3 linked regions of the Cricetulus griseus genome follow. The protein of the gene in region 3 interacts with the protein of the main gene of each other region in a pairwise test. Links are inferred from orthologs where the notes say so. Each region holds a gene or a part of one and is shown on either strand. Other genes may lie near its edges. The genes, in order: Ech1, acyl-coenzyme A thioesterase 8 and Pex5.

Region 1 (2,978 bases), on a different chromosome or scaffold from region 3:
GTGGCTCAGCAGGTGGGCACTTGCCACCATGTTCGATTCCTGTACCCACATGGTAGAAACAGAGAACTTCCTTACAAACACACACACAACAACACAACAAAATCAACATTTTCGAAAGACTTATGTATTCATGTGTATGGGTGCTCTGTCTGCATGCACACCGGAAGAAGGAATCTGATTCCATTTTAGATGGTTGTGAGCCACCATGTGGTTGCTGGGAATCGAACTCAGGACCTCTGGAAGAGCAGTCAAGAGCTCTTAACCGCTGAGCCATCTCTCCAGCCCCCAAATCAACATTTTCTTAAGGGGACTGGAGAGATGGCTCAGGGGCTAAGCACACTTGCTGCTCCAGCAGAGAAAGAAAAAGGAGAAAGAGAGGCATAGGGCTGGTAGCAATGACCTCACCCAGTGCCAGGTACCCAGGCCTACAGTGCTGTGCCACACCTTGCTGGGGACAGACACAGGGGACAGGTGTGGCCTTTCAGCCTTCTGCGGCCTCTGTTCCTTGCACACTTCCTCTTGGCCCAGTCAGATTTGCCTCCCGGCCTTCCCAATTGCCCTCCGTGGAGCCAGGCATCTGAGCCGCCACCCACTGCAGTAAAGACACCAGGCTGTGTTCAAACTTTATTGTTCACAGTGAAGATAAGGCCCCTGAAGAACTAAGTCGTAAGCTTGTACAATGGGCGACCACATGGAAGAAGGCACTGACCCTCCACGGAGCCTTCCTCTCTCAGGATCAGGAAGGCACTCAGAGCTTGGAGAAGGTGGCACTTTTGGTGTCCTTCTTCTCCATGGCTGCCTGGACGGACTTGATTATGTCCTGGGTCTGCAGCATGCTCATGTTCCAGGTGGCCTGGATCAGGGGCGTCGGAAAGACCGGCAGGGCACCAATCAGAGGTGTGCACACATGCTGACCCCCAGGTAGGGCCATGATTGGTGTAGTTGAGCCTTACCATGTAGTCAAGGCTCTCGTCCACGGAATGGTCTCGGGAGTAGATTAGGTTGATTTTTGACCCCTGCACAGCCACAGGGCTCTTGCTGGAAATCTCAGCCGCCAGGGCAAAGGCTGCATTCAACATGTTGTCCTTATCTGGGAACACACGGCTGCCGGGGAAGGAAGAGGTGAGGGGGACACTTTCCCTCTCCCCTGTGGATGATGGCCAGGTGGCCTCACAGAGAAAACGGAAACCCCAACCAAAGAGCTCAGCCACAGGGTCATGCTCAGAGAAAGAAATAGCTGTACCGAGAAAGGCCATTTGGAGTGAGGATACGGGAGACCATGGAGCCCCACCCTGGCCTGGATGGCCCTGTGCCCCTCCCTGCCATCTGCCAGGCAGGGTCCTACCTGACCAGCCCACTGTCCAGGGCCTCGTCAGCCATCATCCTTCGGGCCGTGAAGGTCAGCTCGTTGACCAGGCTACATAAGGGGAGGGCGATCAGGAGCCACCCTTCACCTGGGTCTGACCCCTCCTCTCCGGGTCATCATCACCCCTCTCACCTCTGGTTCCCGATGACCTTGGGCAGTCGCTGCAGTGTCCCCACGTCGGCAGCCAGGCCCAAATCCACCTCCTAGAGGGAGGGGAACACTGATGAGTGATTGTTCTGTGTCTGCCATTGTTTACCACGCAAGCTCAGTGGTTTCACCACCCTCCAGCTCAGACACCCTCAAGAGGCGATGCTACCTCCTGGCCCCCCAGCTTGCTCACAAGGCCCTTTCCAGAGCCCTGGGCTCCACTCCACCCCTCGGCCTGTAAGGATGGCAGCAGTTCCAGCTGTGTCTATGCAGAAACCACAGCTGGGCCTGCATCCCCTTCCTTCCGGTGCTGGGCAGTGCTAACTCAGAGCGTTTTCCCCCCACTCATGCCCTCTACTGTGAGCTACGTACACCCACAGCACCGGCCTACCTCTCTGACAGGGTCTCACTGTGAGGCTCAGGTTGGTCTGTGGGGTGGCAAATGTTTACTGTCAATCTGGCAGAATCTAGGGATGAGCCTCTGAGGTACTACCTTGTTTGTTGTTTTGTTTTGTTTTGTTTTTTCAAGACAGGGTTTCTCTGTGTAGCCCTGGCCGTCCTGGAACTTGCTCTATAGACCAGGCTGGCCTCGAACTCCTGCCTCCGCCCCCGAGTGCTGGGATTAAAGGTTTGCACCACCACACGCGCCTGTCATGAGGTACTGTCTTGATTGCATTAACTGATTCAGTTAATTGTGGGCAGGACCCTGGCATGTGGGGGGCTGGACCCCAGCACACACTGCTCTCTTCTGACTACACTGATGAGGCAATGGCTCCTTCAAGCTCTCTCTGTCTTCACTTCCCTGACACAATTGACCATACCTTGAACTGTGGAACCATGACAGCCCTGTGTCTCTCCACGCCCCATCTTTGCCAGAACCTTACACCTTCATCCAGGAAACCCTGACGACCAGCTGCCTCGGCCTGCCCTGTCTCTGCCTTGCTCCCCACCACCACTGCCACCCCCCCCCCGCCACCCCATTCTGTGGCTGCCTAGCATTGCAAGGGTCCCAGAAGGCAAGACCTCAGAAGTGCCTCACCTTGACCTGGAAGAAAGCATCCTGGGCACAGTAGCGAATGTCACAGGCAGTGATGAGGTCCACACCTGGAAGGAAAAGGCCAGGAACAATGAATAATGACAGGAACCAATACTTCTTCCCAAAACATAGGGTCACAGCTGGGGACCAACTGTAATTAGCAACAGCTGAGCTGAGGCCAACTTGCGGGAGGGGGGCAGGGCAGAGGGTAGCAGCCTTACCAATGCAGGCACCCTAGTGGTGGCCAGTGGTTCCAGACTCACCTGCACCAATGCAACCTCCATGGATGGCAGCAATCACCGGCTTGGGGCACTGAAATGGAAAAGGAGGGTTGGGATCAAAGCTGGCAGAGGAAGGGTAGGCAGAAGGGATGCCACCCAGCCCCTAAGTCACCTTCTCAATGACAGTGAAGGTCTTCTGGAATTTGCT
Region 2 (3,935 bases), on a different chromosome or scaffold from region 3:
CGCCTGGGCCTAGATAAACGGCAGACTGAGGCCCAGCTTCAGTCCCTACAGGAGGCAGGCCTCACCCCCATCCCGCCCCCCAGCCTCAAGGAGCTGCTTATCAAAGAGGTGCTGGACTAACTTTCACCAGTCTCAAGGCCACTTCTGAGAGAGGGGCTGCCCCAGGTCAGGGGGCTGGAGGCCATAAAGGGACACAGTGAGCAACCAGGGGCTGGAAAGGGTTCTGGGAACCCCTAAAGTAGTTCCAGAAAGAGTCTGTAGCAGACTGAGAGGAACTTCGTTTTGTGGGGCTGGGCTCCAAACAGGCTTTGCCTGGGGTTACCCTAGGATGATACAAGGAGGAAGTTTTGGCAACGGCTCTTCAGCCCACCATAGCCAGAGACTGTGGCCAAGGTCAGGATCAATGTTTCCTTTTCCATGGGCCTGGGCACCAGTAAAACAGCTTGGCTGAAGTGCTGGGGACTACTACTGGAATCCTGGAGTTTAGAGCCAGGAGGAGGGCTGTAGTTCTGCCCAGGGAAATGAAAGGTCAGCTACTCCAGTGTTAGCAGTTTCTTTATTAGATATGAGGGGCAGGCAGCCCAGCTGTCTGCTGTGACCCCTGCCTCAGGAATGGCAGTAGAAACAGTTCTTTAAAATCCCAGGCCAAGCCAGTTATCTTTGACTACAGCTTACTCGCTGATACCCGAGGCTTCAATCGGATCACACCCTCCTGGGCACAGGTCACAGCAAGGACCCCATCCTGACGCCACAGCCGCCCATGCACTAGCCCTCGAGAGCCACCTGTGGGCAAGGAGAAGGGTGAGAATGGCCTCTACTTCAGCACAAGCCTGCTTTGCCTTCGGAAGGGATTGACAAGGCAGAGCTGCCCCACACAAGGGTTCATTGGGACATAACTACTCCAAATACCCCTTTGTGAGCCTGTTACAGTCGCTGGGGGAGGGGCCTCCCCCTCCACTTGATGGTCTGAAAGCACTTTCACATATCCCATCACAGAGAAAGGCACTCTGACAGGCTCGGCCAAGCAGATTGCTGCTTCTCAGGCCACTGTCAGAAATCCATCCTTTCCTTTTATGATAAGCCAAGCAAGTCCTCTAGGGACCAGAAGGTGGCTCAGAGAGGACCTGAGACCATGAGGGGTGACCTCCTTCCCTTTCCACCAAGAGGTTCTCAACCTTGGTGGCTTCAGCCTGAGTTAGTCATCCTTAGGAGCTAACTTAGGCTTTCTTTACACATAGCAGAGCCCACTCTGATCTAACTAGCCAGAGTATGGGCTTCATTTCTTACACTGTTTTACAGACGATGACACTAAAGTTCAAAGAGGCTCAGGCTTGGCCCCAAGGATCAGGCCAAAGCCGACTGAGTTGTCCTACTTCAAGGTTGGGAGTCTTGTCCTGTGAGGCTGGTGGTATCTGAGTAACCCTTTCCTGTCTGTAAGGGGTTACTTAAGTTTTGTTTGTTTTATAAAGCAAAGCTTTTCTTCCTCTGAAGTGTACTTCATTATAAAAGAGCCAGGGCTCTAACACTAGACATCAGAGAGTCTGTGTCTCTCTTGGCTCCCTACAGGGGCATCTCTAGAGACCACTGAGTGCACTGTCCCATCCTGCCAACCCAAGGAGATCCTTAAAACACAGTTTACAGCCAGGGCATGGTGGCACACACTTTTAATCCCAGCACTCAGGAAGCAGAGGCAGGCTCATCTCTGGGTTCCAGGCCAGCCTGGTCTACAGAGCAAGCTCCAGGACAGCCAGGGCTTCATAGAGAAACCCTGTCTTGAAAAACCAAAACCAAGCAAACAAAAAGGGCAGTTTCCTGGACCTGATCTAGGACCTGCTGGGGCAGAATGCAATCTGTTTAGAAAAAGCTCCCTCAAGTAACAGCCTGATGGCTTTTTAGATAGTGCCATCTAACATAACCTGTTTATTCAGATGAAAAAAAAAAACAAACTGAGAAGCAGGGCATGGTGGCTCCTGCGTTTGGGAGGTGGAGGCAGGAGGGTCAGGAGTTCCAGGGAGGACTCCACTACATATGACGTTCAAGACAAGCAAGGGTTACATGAAACCCTGGTTGATTAAAAAAAAAAAAAAAAAGCTGGGCTACAGTAGCACACAGATATTCACAGAGCAGAAACATGTGGATCCTAGTAAGTTCTAGGCAAGTCATAGCTCCATAATGAGATCTTACCCTTCCCTGAAAGAAAAAAAAAAAGTCATCAGAAAAAAAGGATTTCCCCAAGTTCATCCATGGCATCTAAAGTGGTTCGGGCATCTGCCCTGGGTCTCTGAGATAAACTCGATCATTCCTGACGTGTTTGAATACCTTTGAAGACAACACGAATACCCAGAGGGGCAGCAGTGCAAGGGCCCTGTGCAGCATCCCCAGAAAGGAGAAAGAGGCAGTAGCATCTATAAATAAAGCAGGTTCGGGTTCCTACCATTCCCAAAGACACAGGCCCACACTTACCAGCCCAGGGGCTCTCACACTCATAGAGCATCCAGTGGTCGGCTCGGAATGGGGCATGGAACCACATGGAGTGGTCCAGCGAGACCATGAAGTTCACTTTATACTTGGACTGGTGGGGCAGCAATGCTGTACCCAGGAAGGCGTAGTCAGAGATATAGGCAGCCACACAGCAATGCATCTTGATGTCGCCCTCCCCTGCAACAGGTCCCGACCCCATCAGCCCTGGGCTCCTGGCTTTCCAGCTCAGGATCTGCAGGGAAGTGGGGAGAAAAGGGCTGCCACACACCAATTAGTCATTGTGCAAGGGCATCTGTTCCAGGGTTGGGGGTGGTGTGTAAGGATGAAGGAGGTGGGGACTAAGGACAGGAGTAAGACAAATGCAAATCATTCTTCCCAAATCTCTCACACCCAGTCACTCTCTGTGTCCCAAAACAGGCATTTTCCAATCTGTACAAAGATGTCGATGGTGCCTCTGGCCTAGATAAGAACCTCAGCAAGGTACCTTGCTTCCCCCAGAAAGGTCCAACAATGGGATTACAGTCATCTCATTATTTTCATGTTAAAGGGTAAGGGCTCTGGTGAGAAAGTGAGCCAAATTCTGCATAATTCAGATTAGGAAAGGGGCCCAAAGAGAGGGTGGGATACCCAAGCAACAGAGGGCAAATGAGTGGCAAGGCCTAGAGCCCTGGAGTATTTTTCTCCAATTCATCAGTCCTCTTACCAATATAGCCCCGGGCTCGCACCCAGAACATCTGTTTGGGTTCCAGTGTCTGCAGCTGGCTCGGGGTGGGTGGGTTCACCAGCTTGATCTCAATAGGTACCTCCTGGGCAGCAATTCGGTTCAGCCCCACTCGGTATTTCTCCTGGAGGTTAGGGTCCCTGAAAGTAAACACAGGGCCAAAGAGTCCCAAGGAGAGGAAGCTTCTCTGTGCTTCCTCTTCTGGTCCCCACAATTTCTCCATAGGGGCTTCTGTCCTGCAAAGCTTCCTCATGGAGCTGGCAAAGCAGTAGTGTTCGAATCCCTTCCTTGTCACTTCAGCCACGAAGCCTTGTGCAAGTTAGTCATCTCTCTGAGCCTATTTTCCCATTTGAAACATGAGAGTAATAAGGTGACCTGCCTTGAAGCAAACACACAGTTAAGACCTAGGCACTAGCCGGGTGTTGGTGGTGCACACCTTTAGTCCCAGCACTTGGGAGGCAGAGGCAGGCGGATCTCTGAGTTCGAGACCAGCCTGGTCTACAAGAGCTAGTTCCAGGACAGCCTCCAAAGCCACAGAGAAATCTGTCTTGAAAACCAAAAACAAACAAAAAAGACCTAGGTACCAACCCAAGCATTGCACATGACCATAACCCATTCTTTGCCAGGACTTCACATGACAAGTATGGTCATCACGCCAATTGATAAGAGGCATGAGCACAGGAAACCCAGGTGGCTTGCTCAGATGTTAGGCAGTCTGGACCCATAGTTCATC
Region 3 (3,649 bases):
GAGCATGGCTATGTCACCATATTTTACTCATGGACATTGAAATTTCTAATTTTAGGTATTACAAATTGCATTACTCTTTTGATTTCTTTCAGCCATTCAAAAATGCTAAAACCATTCTTAGCCACTGAACCATTTGCAAATGAGTGGCAAATCCACCTATCCACAGGCCACACATGATCATCTGAATTCAATAGAATAAGTATGTTCACACTCAACCTTAACTGCTGTCCATCATCAATCCATCCTTCAGGCCACTCTGTGGAAAGCAGATTGTTGTCACATATAATTTCCTAATGAATGTATTTATGCCTCAAAGCTACTGAGAGTCTTACTAACAGTGGCTGTACTTCCTGAAGCTTGTACAAGGCCTGTGTGAGCAGTCAGCGGTGATGAATGCTCTTGTGTCTCCAGAAAACAATGTGACAAATGAATGCACTCAACTCCCAAACACGAGTTTCCTCTAGAGTCCGTTACCTATTGTTTTTAACGTCTCATCACTTACTGTTCAATGAGGAATTAACTACTATCCCCCTCTGCAAAAAGAAAACATTTGCAGAGGTGAGGAAAGAACCCTCTGAAGGAGCCCTTCACAGACTAGAGTGCAGAGAGCTGAGAGCTGAGTGTTACTACACATCCTGAAAGCTCTAACCCAGCCAGTCGTCTTGTCTGATCCACTCCTTGGGCTGTTGCAAAATCTCACACAATCACACTGTGGATAAAGCACAGCTTCAAAGCGTCTCTACATCACAGAAACTTTTTCTAACAGTGAACAGTGTTTCAGTGTCTCTTTAGGCCACAGGTGTATGAAAAATCTAAGGGTGATCAATAAAAAATATTTAATTTTAAAAAAGTATAAAGAGGGATAAGGAGACAGCTGAATGGATAAAGCACCTGCAGGCAAACAGGAGGACCAGAGTTCAGATCCCTAACTCCCAAGATTAAAAACCAGGCAAGCATGAAGTCCAGTTGGAGAGTGGATCCACAGGGCAAGCTGGCCTGACTGCAGCTGTGTCAATGACCTCTTGGGGGGGGGGCAGGATTGGGGGACACAGGAACCCTGTCCCAAGTGGGAAAGTGGAAAGCAATGAAGGGAAGACACCTTATGTTAATACCTGACCTCAGCACACACGTGCACACCACAGACACATGCAAAAATGTAAGTAACACCTAAAAAGCACAGAAAGACCCATGAGTTTATCTGACAACGAACTCACACCCCCACTTTTAAAGTATTCCATATAATTCAGTACAACTTAGCTTAAGGACAGACAGAACTTAACTCTTCACTATTAGTGAATAATAAAATGGAGCATTGTTGTGAAGCATTAGTGCAGAGGGTTCTAAGCCTCATTTTGCAATATTTCAAGTTATCACTGACATCAAACAGGATTCGTGGATCTAATAACTTACAGGTTTTGTTTGTTTTGAAACAATCTCACTAATTTACAACCCTCCTGACTTAGCCTCACAAGTGCTAGGATTACAGATGTGTACCATCTTGCCTGGGTCCCTTGTTATATTTTTAAGTTTTTTGTGTATTTGGTCCAGCATGTCTTAAATTTAGCACTTAAATAATGAGTGCTAAATTAAGCTTCAAACTTAAAAAGTTATTCTGTGTATATGTCATAAATTCCAGAGTAATAAACATTAAGAGAAAATATTACCCATATGAAAGCAGCACTTACATCTCCATTTATCAAATGTACGGAAATGCTAGTTATAAGTTAACAACATATCAAATTGTTAATGTAGGACAATAAGAGTGCTATTCTATGAGAGGAATTTATACTGTGGCAAAATACAAGGTGAAATCCCTAGAAGGAAGCAGCCCCTCAATGTACCACACAAGACCATTTTTGAACAAGCCCAGAGCAGATGGAAACACCACGGTCCCATTTTCCCTTGTAGCAGGTTGTTCTGAGGCTCTCAAGCCCCGACCTTCTCACAGTCCCTGAGCTTCCCTCTCCCATCTGGGCACAGCTCCCTATGTCAACATCCACCTCCACCACCCAGCTCTGAATCTCAGGGTCTGGTCCTTCCTCCTCCACAGTTGAGCTGAGAAAGAGGTGTTACTCTGATGGGGGATGTCCTTCTGGACACTATGAATATATGTTTCTCTTATTGGTTGATGAGCAGGAAGTATAGGCAGGGGCTACCAGACTACAAGAATGCTGGGAAGAGGAAGGCAGAGAGGAGCCGATAGGGAGACACCATGCAGCTGCCAAGGGAGCCAGAGGGCCAGGTATCACCAGTAAGCCAAGACAAAGTGGAGATACACAGATTAATAGAAATGGGTTAATAATTAAGAGAGAGCTAGCCAAATAAGAAGCCTGAGCCATCAACAAAAAGTTTATAATTAATATAAGCCTGAGACCAGGCAGGACAGAAACCTCCTGTCATCATGGCTCCACTCCTACTGTCTTCCCTCTCATGCTTCAATGATCCTGCAACTCACAAGCAGATTTACTCACAAACATCGAAGCCAAAAGCTCACGTTACATGCAAAATCCAAACATCTTCTCCACAGACTACTGGGAAATGTTCTTATTGTTTAAATTATTTAATGTAATTCTTTGAAATCCTGGATCGGGACAAGAGCTTGTTGCTACAAGAAGAGATCAGAACTTAAATGAGAGCTGTGGGTATAGCTCAATGGGATAGTTAGTCCTTTCTAGCACACACAACCCCTGGCTTGGTACCCAGCATTGGGAGTGGGGGAGCAGGTGTTCCAACTCATGAGCTAAAAGAGAAGTACATGCCACAGTGTGGACAGAGAATGATCCATCAACTCCCACTGCCCAGCAGAGGGGCCAGCAGCCAATAAATCATCCCAGTGAACCTGCAAAGAGGACCTACCTACCCATCTGTTCTTAGTGCGTCGTGTGTAAGCCCCCTAGTGGGCGCTAAGTCACGGTGTGATGTGCAGAGGCATTCTTACTAACCACTGAACCCCAAGAACACAGGACCATTCAATTCCTGGACAGCAGGTGCCAAGGTATCATCACACTTCACAGAAGCCGCTCAAAAGTAGCAACAGCTTCAGCATGGAAACTTCCCGTTCCAGAACCTGGAAAGCCAGGGGCTCCTTCCTACCTTGTCATAGGAAGCAGATGTGAGGTCATCATAGTCAGAAAGCCAGGGGTGCGCCTCAGCATCCCGTTTTGCCATCTCCTCCAACTCTGCCTGCAACTTGTCCCAGAAATCGACATCAGACTGTAAGGAAGGGAGGGCAGATAGAGAAAGGCGGTGCTTCGTGCCCACCCCACCCTCACCCCCACTCTACTGGGGTGTGTTCCTAGGGCAACAGGCCTTAAACTTTAATGTGTTCAGCAACCATCAGAGAAGCTTTTGTAAAATGCAAATTCCTCAACCCTACCCCCAGATTCTGATGCAGGAATCTGGAGCAATGTCCAAGAATTTGCATTTTTTAAAAAGCACTTATCCTGCACCTACACAATTCCAACACGGATGACCCAGTACATTCTGAGACAATGCCCATCACCTCTGGCACTAACAAAGCCATACTCCCCATGGGAGGGCATGGCCCTGGGGTACTTGTGTTCACACCAGCGGCTCTCACCTCTATAGCTGACTTGGCTCGTTCAAATTCTACATCCAGGGCAGACGTGTTTCCTGACCTTGTGAACTG

What was found.
Region 1: the proteins of Pex5 (region 3) and Ech1 interact in a two-hybrid assay, tested with the Homo sapiens proteins (2 studies listed by BioGRID and IntAct, with this or other methods). The link is inferred for Cricetulus griseus from reciprocal best matches to the Homo sapiens genes PEX5 and ECH1.
Region 2: the proteins of Pex5 (region 3) and acyl-coenzyme A thioesterase 8 interact in binary tests that used the Homo sapiens proteins (3 or more experiments, as listed by UniProt). The link is inferred for Cricetulus griseus from reciprocal best matches to the Homo sapiens genes PEX5 and ACOT8.

The regions. Positions count from the first base shown.
Region 1 is NC_048602.1:7,032,380-7,035,357, forward strand, and holds the end of Ech1 (delta(3,5)-Delta(2,4)-dienoyl-CoA isomerase, mitochondrial), read right to left. Parts: coding exon 2,943-2,978; intron 2,862-2,942; coding exon 2,813-2,861; intron 2,618-2,812; coding exon 2,553-2,617; intron 1,570-2,552; coding exon 1,499-1,569; intron 1,418-1,498; coding exon 1,346-1,417; intron 1,105-1,345; coding exon 954-1,104; intron 854-953; coding exon 749-853; 3' UTR 612-748; downstream 1-611. UniProt on the Homo sapiens protein: Isomerization of 3-trans,5-cis-dienoyl-CoA to 2-trans,4-trans-dienoyl-CoA.
Region 2 is NC_048599.1:14,631,558-14,635,492, reverse strand, and holds the end of acyl-coenzyme A thioesterase 8, read right to left. Parts: intron 3,343-3,935; coding exon 3,185-3,342; intron 2,659-3,184; coding exon 2,464-2,658; intron 2,191-2,463; coding exon of another isoform or gene 2,141-2,190; exon of another isoform or gene 784-2,140; coding exon 665-783; 3' UTR 538-664; downstream 1-537. Other genes in the region: Snx21 (sorting nexin-21), read left to right, coding at 1-120. UniProt on the Homo sapiens protein: Catalyzes the hydrolysis of acyl-CoAs into free fatty acids and coenzyme A (CoASH), regulating their respective intracellular levels. Displays no strong substrate specificity with respect to the carboxylic acid moiety of Acyl-CoAs.
Region 3 is NC_048601.1:21,910,942-21,914,590, reverse strand, and holds part of Pex5 (peroxisomal targeting signal 1 receptor), read right to left. Parts: coding exon 3,581-3,649; intron 3,214-3,580; coding exon 3,094-3,213; intron 1-3,093.